Macaca mulatta: one gene and its partner. The protein of the gene in region 1 interacts with the protein of each later gene in a biochemical or structural test. Links are inferred from orthologs where the notes say so. Each region holds a gene or a part of one and is shown on either strand. Other genes may lie near its edges.

Region 1 (6,032 bases):
CTGCACTCCCCCCCTGGGTGACAGAGCAAGATTCCATCTCAAAAAAAAAAAAAAAAAAAAAAAGTTGATACACTGGCCAGCAGAAGTAGGAAGGCTGGGATGAATTTTTTGGTGAGGTCTCAATAATGAAAGTTTTGTTTAAAAAACAAAACAACAAAAATTGGATAATAGTATTAAACCTTATATACATTAACTTTTATGTCTCGGTTAAATGGACATAGAAAAAGAGGTTACCCACAGGAGAAGAGAAAGAATACACAGGAAAAAAGAATGTTAAAAAGACCAAAAGTCATAAAAAAGATATATATCTGTTTTACCATTTTGCCTGAGACTTTGCTGCTAGGTTTAACTGAATCTGAGCAAATAAGACTGCAAGTATTTTCATTCTCCACAGGTGCTCAGTAGAAATATGGATTCCAGCTATAAAATGGTCTCAAAATATATAAAATGGTCTCATTGAGTGAGGGTCTAAATGCACGTATGTTAATCTGGTACCCAGATCTTACATGCTTTGTTTTGTTTTGTTTTGAGGCGAGTCTTGCTGTGTCCCTCAGGCTGGAGTGCAGTGGTGTGAACAACTTACTGCAGCCTTGACCTCTGGGGTTCAAGCAATTCTTCCACCTCAGCCTTTTGAGCAGCTGGGACCACAACTGTGGGCCACACAGCTAATTTTAAAATTTTTCTGTAGAGACGGGGGTCTCCTTATCTTGCCCAGGCTGGTCTCAAACTCCTGAGCACAAGCAATCCTCCTGCCTCAGCCCCTCAAAGTGCTGGGAATACAGGCATGAGCTATGATGCCCAGCCCCCTTAACTTGCATTTTTGAAAGTCATCACCAACTTCAGGACTGTATATAACACTCCCATAAAAATAAAAAATTAAACCCATATAAAAGAGAATTCTCGACACTTACTTTTCAAGCTCTTCCTGAGAATGGGCAAATGTACAATTTGTTCCTCGTGGACAACCCCCTTGCTGTCGCAGATCTCGGCACATGCTAGTCTTGTATTTGCTGTTTGGCTGAGGCTACAAAAATGGAACACATTCAATGAGTGGCAAAGTGAAGATTCCATTTGTAATTCACTCTAGGAAGTTCAGAACTTTATAATTACACCTTTAATTCTTTTTCACATTAGACAAGTAATTCTTGTGCTGAAACAACTAATATTCCATTGTTTCCTGTTGTGAGTTATGTGACATAACCCTGAGTTGGCACTTTAGATATTCCTTCTGAAGATTATTTGAAACTGGCTCAAATGTTATTATGTCCATTTATTCATTAGTTAACAGAATGCCCAGAAAAAGACAATATTTTTTCATCAATTTATTGCTGTCTTAAAATTCTGCTACCAAAATCAAACAATTTTAAAAAGCATTTAAAAAAGCTGAAAGCTTTGTGTACTTAAACTTTCTCAGAAAAGGTAGAATACAATTCCCTCAAAAGTGAAAAATTACCAATTCACTTGTCAACTTGAGGGTACAACTCTCAGGCTTAAACTATCTGAGTTCACACAATGCGGCAGAATATTAAAATTTCACTATGACTTCTACAATTTGCATCAAAATCTAAGATATTCTTATGGGCCTAAGATGAAAACATTTGCTTTTCAGTCAACATTTTAAGTTATAATGTCTCCTAAGAATGAGGAAAGAAGAGTACAAAGTATGGGTTTGATCCCAGCTCTTACTGACAGCACAATCTTTTTTATTTATTTTTATTTTTATTTTTGAGACGGAGTCTGGCTCTGCTGCCCAGGCTGGAGTGCAGTGGCGCCATCTCGGCTCACTACAAGCTCCACTTCATGGGTTCACGCCATTCTCCCTGCCTCAGCCCCCAAGGAGCTGGGACTACAGGTGCCTGCCACCACGCCTGGCTAATTTGTATTTGTAGTAGAGATGGGGTTTCACTGTGTTAGCCAGGATGGTCTCGATCTCCTGACTTCGTGATCTGTCCCCCTTGGCCTCCCAAAGTGCTGAGATTATAGGCATGAGACACTGCACCCACCCCCTGACAGCACAATCTTATATTATTTAACCTCTTTGAATTTCAGCTTGGATATAGCAACTACATTGCAGGTGACTGTGAGGATAAGAAATAATATATGTAAAACATTGAATGTAGTGAATGGCTCATAATAACTTAATAAACAGAAGTTATTAGTATAAAGGATTATATCTTAACTTCTTTTTATTTTATTTTATATTTTTGGAGACAAGAGTCACTCTATTGCCCAGGCTGGAGTGCAGTGGCGCTATCTCGGCTCACTGTAGCCTCTATCTCCCGGGTTCAAGCGATTCTCCTGACTCAGCCTTCTGAGTAGCTGGGATTACAGGTGTCCATCACCATGCCAGGCTAATTTTTGTATTTTTTATTTTTTTTTTAGTAGAGACGGGGTTTCACCATGTTGGCCAGGCTGGTCTCGAACTTCTGACCTCAAGTGATCTGCTCACCTCGACCTCCCAAAGTGCTGGGATTACAGGCGTGAGCCACTGTGTCTGGCCAGGATTATATCTCAATTTCTAAAGTACATTGAAAATTACCTTGAAAATTCAAATTTCAGCTGAGCACGGTGGCTCACGCCTGTAATCCCAGCACTTTGGGAGGTCGAGGTGGGCAGATCACCTGAGGTCAGGAGTTTGAGACCAGCCTGGCCAACATGGTAAAACCCTATCTCTACAAAAAATACAAAAATTAGCAGGGCATGGTGGCGCTTGCCTGTAATCCCAGCTACTTGGGAGGCTGAGGCAGGAGAATTACTTGAACTCAGGAGGCAGAGGTTGCAGTGAGCTGAGATAGCATCACTGCACTCCAGCCTGGGCAACAGAGTGAGGCTTTGTCTCAAAAAAAGAAAAGAAAAAAGAAAATTCGAATTCCATAAATGACAATTTCCCACGGTAGAAAAGAAGTAGATAAAACGTTTGGAATCAATTATCTACATTTGGTCAAAAAAATTCTGTAATGAAGTATACTCACATCTAAGATACCCTCAAAACTCTTGCTGTGCTATAAAATGTTACCAAGTACATTAAAAACTGGGTTTCTCCCAAAAGAACAGAGATGGTAAAAACTTATGAGTCACATACTGAGTCCAATTAACAAAACAGCTTGTTAAGATGTTCAGGATGAAACTGAGTTAGAGATAATAGCAGTCAGAAATGTAATAAATATACTTACCTGAGGGGTCTCATGGCCTTTTCTACTATAATTTTGTATGAAGTCCACAAGGCCATGAACTACTGTTTTAACAGCTACCATTGCATTTTCTAGCTGCTCCCAAGTTGGTGAAACAGCATCTAAAATAAGCCACCAAGGGCATGGGGGTTGGGAGGGGAAGAATGTTAGCAGTAATTCTCTTGTATTATTCACCTCGAAAGTAGAAAAAAATATAAGCAACTGAGCATGTTCCCACATACCTGGATTAGGGTCTATGTTTGCAAGAAGCTCTAAATGAGGTCTCAGTCTATTTAAGTTAGCTGGGTCACCTGTTCGTTGCAAAACAATTGTCAATTCCTGGACACTCTTTGCAAATGACTCTGGAGACTGTAGCTAACAAACAGAAATGAGAATGCTTTTTACTTTGGTTCTCATGACACATTTATATTCAAATACTTTCAATTTTCAACACATTTAATAGGTTTTCAAGTGTCTTCAGATTCCATAGTAGGACTATCAGTGATGAATTAAATTTTCACCTCAGAATCTGCCCTATGAAATTCATCATTAGACACTTAGAAAACTTATAAGCTGTATTAACTCTCTGAGGTCAGAATATAGATAAGCTTGAAATTTTGTAAGCCTCACTGCTTTTATGCTAGTATCATGTATTTGTTTCCCTGTTGCATCCCTTTATTTTGCAAGTAGAAAAATAAAAAGAAAATAAGGATAATTTATAAGAGTCTGACATTTAAAAACACAGGAATCTCCAACTGTTTGTGTATAGACTCTTTAGAATATTCTATTACTCTTCAACGTAACAGCAATGGTAGAACATCAGCATCTCTAATTTCACAAACCTTATCAATGATAGACTGCATGTGTGATTTATGAGCCAAATCACCATACAAAAGAGAGGACCACTGTTCAGGTGAAATACGGAGTCCTGCTTCCATAGCAATATGAACAATTTGGGCATCATGTTCCCTGCGTAACGCTTCATAACTCCGAAATTCTTCCTTCAGCTGCATTAAGGAAGAGTCTTCATCTCTTTTGGTAACCTAAGAAATAGAAAAGAGAAAAAGAAACTCATCAGAATTGGTCTGTGCTTTCTCCCTTCAACTGATTCGTTTATTCTTTTTTCACGGAGGCTGGGGGATACTTACATATCAGACACCAAACAAATAAGGTACATAGATAAGATAATGTCCTGACCACAAATTCTTTCTGGAACAGAACAGAACTTACATAACTAAATACATAATCCCTGCCTTCAATGATTTCAGCCACTGTTAAGAAAGAGAAACTTGTAAGTAGAAAATTACAGTAAAAGTGCTATTATAAGGCTTGATGGCAACAAAGAGGAAAAGGAATTAAATTAGCGAGAAGAACGGGATTTCAGAAAAGGCTTCTCCCAGCTGAAAGCTACATGAATTGATTTGTGTACAATAAATATGAGTTTCCTGAGCAAAGAAAGGTGAGGAGGCCGGGGTGGTGGCTCATGCCTGTAATCCCAGCACTTTGAGAGGCCGAGGTGGGCGGGTCACTTGAAGTCAGGAGTTTGAGACCAGCCTGGTCAACGTGATGAAACCCCATCTCAAATAAAAATACAAAAATTAGTCTGGCGTGGTGGTGTGAGGCAACTGTAATCCCACCTACTCGGGAGGCAGAGGTTGCAGTGAGCTAAGATAGCACCATAGCACTCTAGCCTGAGGGACAGAGTGAGACTCCGTCTCAAAAAAAAAAAAAAAAAAAAAAAAACGAAAAAAAAAGGGGGAGAAATAGAATTTTTAAAAGAGCAGCAAGTGGTGAAACAGAAACATGAAAAAGCAGAACACATAGGGTTAAGGTATGATACAGGCTAGAGAATAATAATAGAAGGCATTATATACTACGGTAGGAAATTTGGATATTATCATGAAGGGAATGTGAACCCACTGATTTTTTTGGAGGGGTGGGGATGGGGAGGACAGGGGATGGGGGGGACAGGGTCTCACTTTGTCACCCAGGTTGGAGTGCAGTGGCACGATCTAGGCTTGCTGTAGCCTTGACTTTCTGGGCTCGAGCAATCTTCTCGCTTTGGCCTCCCAAAGTGCTGGGATTACAGGTATAAACCACTGTACAGGGCTGATTTAGGATTTTTAAGCAGAGAAGTGACATGATCAGATTTATGTTTTAAAAAACATCACTTTGGTAACAGGAGAGGATAAAGATAGACAAGCAAGGAATCCAGCTAATAGGTACACATATATTAGCACTACCACATGATAATTAAGAAATTTTCTTGGGAGGCTGAGGCAGGAGGATGGCCTGCGCCCAGGAGTTCAAGGCTGCAGTGAATTATGATGGCACCACTGCACTCCAGCCTAAGCAACAGAGCGAAAGTCCGTCACTTAAAAGAAGAAATTTTCTGCTACCCCAGAAATTATCATCAGGGTATATAGCTTTAACCTCTACTTAAGTAGTAAAAAACTATACATTAAAAAGTTAAAGAGTTTTATAGGGCCTAATGAAGTGTGTAGAACTAGAGATTAATTTCAATAGTTGCCCTAAGAGCATGAAACTAAACACTATGACTATGAGGCAGATAGTGTCCAAGTCTCATTAGTGGAGTTAAATGAATTAATCCCAACACATTTCTATTACCAATTACCTGTTATCTCAAACTAAGCGGTCTGCCAAGAAAACAGTTTTCTGTCTGTACTATTTTCACTCTTGGGAGCTATAAAACCAACAAAATAACCTAAATAAGCTTTGGTTTCAAATTTAAATGTTTTACTTTCATAGAAGCCAATAGGCCTTTCTACTTCCAAGTACATGAGACATTCTCAAGACCCAGGCAGCAACCTACACTCTTGGATCATAAAAACACTTTAAGGA
Region 2 (5,027 bases), on another chromosome or scaffold:
TTTTGGATATGTGGGATATTATGGGAGAAGCTGTATTTCTGACGCATCTGATGGTTTCTTAAATGCTTTGTATCTCTTGCAGGTGGCAAAGAAACACAGCATGATGTTTGGAAATATAATTCTTCGATCAACAAGTGGATTCAGATTGAGTATTTAAACATAGGCCGCTGGAGGCATAAGATGGTGGTGTTGGGTGGCAAGGTTTACGTTATTGGAGGCTTCGACGGCTTACAGAGAATCAACAACGTGGAGACCTACGACCCCTTTCACAACTGCTGGTCAGAGGTATAGGAGACGATTTCTACCAGTAACTGCCTGTATTATTACTTCAATGCTTTTTTAGAAAGCTTTGGAACGTGCCTACCATGGTGGCCAGCTTTCTGATCACTTTACTCCCAAGGAGAACATTTTTGGTGGCTCTGAGCTTCCCTCCTCCTAGGAGCTATTGCTTCAGTATCACTGATCAAATCATAGAAACAATGTCCTTCCAAGTGGTGAAGGTCTGTGTGGGCACCTGTCCTAATTTGGACAGAATTCCAGATGTGGACGGAGGCTCACCCTGTCCTTAGATGGGAGATCTCTTGGTCTGCATGTCTTGACGTAGAGTCTTGTCTCCTCAGATGCCTTGTCTCCTATTCTCCGCACTGGACACATGCGGATCACTTTACTATACCGTTTATGAACCCAGAGTGATTTGGTCGTGTTAGAAGTCATCCCTTCTTTATTTTCCCATTGATGATGAGCCACTTGCAGCCCTGCATGTCAGACTTATCAATGCAACCTCAGGTGTATATCAGACTCAGGAAAAGAAAAGCCACCTCATCTCATTTCCAAGTTATTCCCAATTTCAAATTTTCTTTTTCCTTATCAGATCAGATGTCCAAGCATGTTCCAGCTTAATGGAGTGTACAACACAGTCATTGTAGGCACAAGCAAAGGTTGCCAGGTCAACACATCTAGCCAAGACTGTCAGCCTGAAAAGTGCTATATTGAGAGCCCTTAACATTTATGGGGAGCATACCTAAGATCTTCTCAAAACAAGCCCAATCACAGAGCTGCTCCATGATCTAAAAGGATCCTGCAAATAAATGGGCAAGAGGCTCTTGGAAGTCTCCTTTAGTGTCCTGGGGTTCATAGGGTAGAAGCACACATCTGACTTAATCTCAAAATCCTCAGTGCTACCCTATAATGGAAGAGTCTGCTTACCTGTGGCCACCTCAAACCCGTATACCAGCTTTTCTTCCTAGATATAAGCACCAAGGAAAATCAATGCTGGTACATAGTAGGCACTCCATAGATATTTTTTGAGTGGATGAGCACATGAACGTATATGAATATGCATGTATAAAACATCATTTTCCTCCAACACTGGCTGATTTCATCTGTATAAACTTATTCTTACCTATACTCCTCCTTCCCTGAGAGCTGGATTCTGGGAGAGTCTGGCATATCCCAACACACAGCTTGCTCTAGCTTGCGTGGAGCCTGGAGGGAGGGTGAGAAATGCATGCTTTCATTCTTGCTGTGTCTTCAGAGGATTCAAGCCTACAGGCCTTGTGACTTTAGGCAAAAGATGCCCAGTTCTGTGTCCCGGAGCTCTGTCCTGTATCCTGGGAGTTACTGCAGCAATCTGGGCAGCATGACTGACAGCTTCTTCTTGTGCCCTGTGCCTCTACAGGCTGCACCCCTCCTTGTCCATGTCAGTTCCTTTGCAGCCACCAGCCATAAGAAGAAGCTCTATGTGATTGGAGGAGGGCCCAATGGGAAACTGGCCACAGACAAGACTCAGTGTTATGACCCTTCCACCAACAAGTGGAGTTTGAAGGCGGCCATGCCGGTGGAGGCCAAATGCATCAATGCAGTGAGTTTCCGGGACCGCATCTATGTCGTTGGTGAGTAATGGCTTCTTATTGATCTGAATGGCTTAGAATCTGATTAGCGCTTGGCCGCAGCACGTCAAGGGTGTGTCGCGGTGCTCCACTGCTGGCAACTCACTGCCCCTAGGACCCACTCTGGCTTTCAGAAGAGCCGTCAATCGACTGTTTCTCTTGGCAAGAGGGTAGACTTGGCCTAACCAGAAATTGAATTTTAGTGGTTAAGAGGGAAGAACCCAGAAAAATGGAGCGATGCCCACCGAGTTTCCTCCCTCTCTTCAGGTGGGGCCATGAGGGCGCTGTATGCCTACAGCCCCCTGGAAGACAGCTGGTGCCTGGTGACCCAGCTCAGCCACGAGCGGGCCAGCTGCGGTATCGCACCCTGCAACAACCGGCTCTACATCACCGGCGGGCGGGACGAGAAGAACGAGGTTATCGCCACGGTGCTGTGCTGGGACCCCGAGGCCCAGAAACTGACAGAGGAGTGTGTCCTGCCCCGGGGCGTGTCGCACCACGGCAGTGTCACCATCAGGAAGTCCTACACGCACATCCGCAGGATCGTGCCTGGAGCAGTGTCTGTCTGACAGCAGGATGGGGAGCTGGAGAGCCCCCCAGATCCTCAGCGTGCCTGCCTCACCTCTCACCCTCCTCCAGCCCCACTTCAGGCTGCAGGCTCGAGTTTGAGGCCATGCATCAGGGGATCCCCTTGACTCACTTTGGGAGAACCTTGGAAGTCACAGTTTGGGGTCACTTGAGACTGGCCAGGAATGTTTGCATGACCTACCTCAGGAGGGGAGGTGAGGAAGAGTAATATTTAGTATTCAGGACCCACCCACCCTATGCCGGCTTCTGTGCCAGGCACTTCCTTGTATGGGTTCATTTAACCTGGTGAGTGGCTCTTATCACTTCTAGTTTACAGGTGAGGGAACAGAGTTTCACAGAGGCTAAGTGGCATGCCCCTGATCACTCAGATAGCAAGTAGCTACCCCAGGAGTCTAAAACCCAGGTCTTTCAGCTCCGAAGTCAATGCTCCTTCCACCACGCTGCCTATCTCAGGCAGGAAAAACAAGCAAAAAACCAAAAACAAAACCTGGCTCATGCCAGGCGTGGTGGCTCACGCCTGTAATCCCACACTATGGGAGGCCAAGGCGGGTGGATGACCTGAGGTCAGGAGTTCGAGACCAGCCTGGCCAACATGGTGAGACCCCCCGTCTCTACTGAAAATACAAAATTAGCCTGGCGCAGTGGCAGGCGCCTGTAATTCCAGCTACTCAGGAGGCTGAGGCAGGAGGATCACCTGAACTTGGGAGGTGGAGGTTGCAGTGAGCCGAGATCGTGACACTGCACTGCAGCCCAGGCAACAAAAGTGAAACTCTATCTCAAAAACAAAAACAAAAACAAAGACAAAAAAACTTGGCTCACTTCTTGTTTCGGCAAGTCTGCTAAAAGATTCACTCAGCACGGCAGGGAAATAAAGGTGTTTCCTGTTTTCTTTCCTTTTCTTTTTTATTCTGCATCCTCCCTCATCCCCACCCTTTACCAAAATTTAAACCAAGGAGTCATTTGGGCTCCTTGCCAAGAATATCTCATAGGTTCTTCCACTTGAAAGGTCTGGGGGATGGGTTTGGGAAGGCCTGTTTGCTTTGAAAGAGATGAAAGATGAAATACTTGTGTTCTGTCTTTTTTTTTTTTGAGATGAAGTCGCCCAGGCTGGAGTGCAATGGCATGATCTTGGCTCACTACAACCTCTGTCGCCCTGGTTCAAGTGATTCTCCTGCCTCAGCCTCCTGAGTAGCTGGGATTACAGGCACCTGCCACCACACCCAGCTAATTTTTGTAGTTTTAGTAGAGACGGGGTTTCACCATCTTGGCCAAGCTGGTCTTGAACGCCTGACCTTGTGATCCGCCCTCCTCGGCCTCCCAAAGTGCGGGGATTACAGGCGTGAGCCATGGAACCGGCCTTTTTTTTTTTTTAAATGATCATAAGATGGCCCATTTTGGACCAGAACTGTCATTGCCAGACAGAATTGTACCTTTAGCACAGTCTGGTGCCCTGGCCTCTTAGTGTTCATCAGTTGTACTACAATTTAGAAAAGATGTTTCTAGAGACTTAAACTACTGTTTTATTTTAAAAAGTAAACACCTGAACACAGCTGGCCTCCACAGGAACAACAGATTATCCTTGATGGTACACTTTCTAGTTTTTGGACAGTGATTTAGGTCCACCTTCCTGATACCCCATCCTCCTGAAGCCTTCGTTTTCAGGACTTTTAAAAAGCACTTCTAGTTGTTTTTTTGATCAGTGTAGCTCAATTGTGACTTAAAGAACAGAATCTGTCCTTCACTGTAAGAGCTAGAGCTTTCAAATGAGCTCACTGGAAATTCATTGTAATCCCCAAGCTGGAGAAACAGGTTAAGAGATCCTGTTTCATACGCTGTATTTAAAAAGCAACAATGATAACAACATAGTAACTGCATTACCCAATGGACTTTATTTTCATCATATGATTTCAATTCTCTTTATAGAGTTTTATTTCATGTCCAGTGTGGCTTGTTCTTCTCAGCCGTTTGGGAAGTTAGAGTTATTAGAGTTGACAGTGAACTTAATTTTCATTAAACAGTCATGGTTAGAAGAAGCTAATATTTGAAACAGATTGCAAAAACTTGAAAAATTACAGGTGAGATTTCTGTTTGTGCCAGATTATTGAAGATAAATATAAATGTATGTTGGTGTGTGAAAGGCTCTGTGCCTTAGAGGCATGACAGTTCAGCTCTCTGCTGTGGAAAGTAACACAGGCCAATAGAAGCATATTTGTGGAATTTTAGAACAAACTATGGCTGACTCATGAGCACTATAATAACCATCAGGAAGCTCCCAACTGAAACAATGTAACAATGTAATCTAGTTCAATTCAGCAAACATTCATGGAGTGCTTCATGTCTGCCAAGCCTTGAGGACACCCATGAATGGCAAATCTCCACGCTGGACACTCGATATGGGTAAATAGGCCACCAGTTAATACTTTTGTTTTTCTTTTCTTCAAGTTAGCTAAAAATGAGATGTATATGAAGTGATGAGGCTGGATCCAAGTCTTGATTGCCTTTCAGGGGGTCATGGTGGTAAGCTGTGCAGTAAAGTCAACCAGTGGCCAT

Evidence for each region. The genes of interacting proteins can lie anywhere in the genome.
Region 2: the proteins of RC3H2 (region 1) and KLHL6 form a complex in vitro, tested with the Homo sapiens proteins (2 studies listed by BioGRID, with this or other methods). The link is inferred for Macaca mulatta from reciprocal best matches to the Homo sapiens genes RC3H2 and KLHL6.

What each region holds. Positions count from the first base shown.
Region 1 is NC_133420.1:24,902,254-24,908,285, reverse strand, and holds part of RC3H2 (roquin-2), read right to left. Parts: intron 4,214-6,032; coding exon 4,013-4,213; intron 3,743-4,012; exon of another isoform or gene 3,632-3,742; intron 3,546-3,631; coding exon 3,413-3,545; intron 3,293-3,412; coding exon 3,174-3,292; intron 1,025-3,173; coding exon 912-1,024; intron 1-911. UniProt on the Homo sapiens protein: Post-transcriptional repressor of mRNAs containing a conserved stem loop motif, called constitutive decay element (CDE), which is often located in the 3'-UTR, as in HMGXB3, ICOS, IER3, NFKBID, NFKBIZ, PPP1R10, TNF and in many more mRNAs.
Region 2 is NC_133407.1:95,624,690-95,629,716, reverse strand, and holds the end of KLHL6 (kelch-like protein 6), read left to right. Parts: intron 1-82; coding exon 83-285; intron 286-1,678; coding exon 1,679-1,892; intron 1,893-2,156; coding exon 2,157-2,458; 3' UTR 2,459-3,366; downstream 3,367-5,027. UniProt on the Homo sapiens protein: Involved in B-lymphocyte antigen receptor signaling and germinal center formation.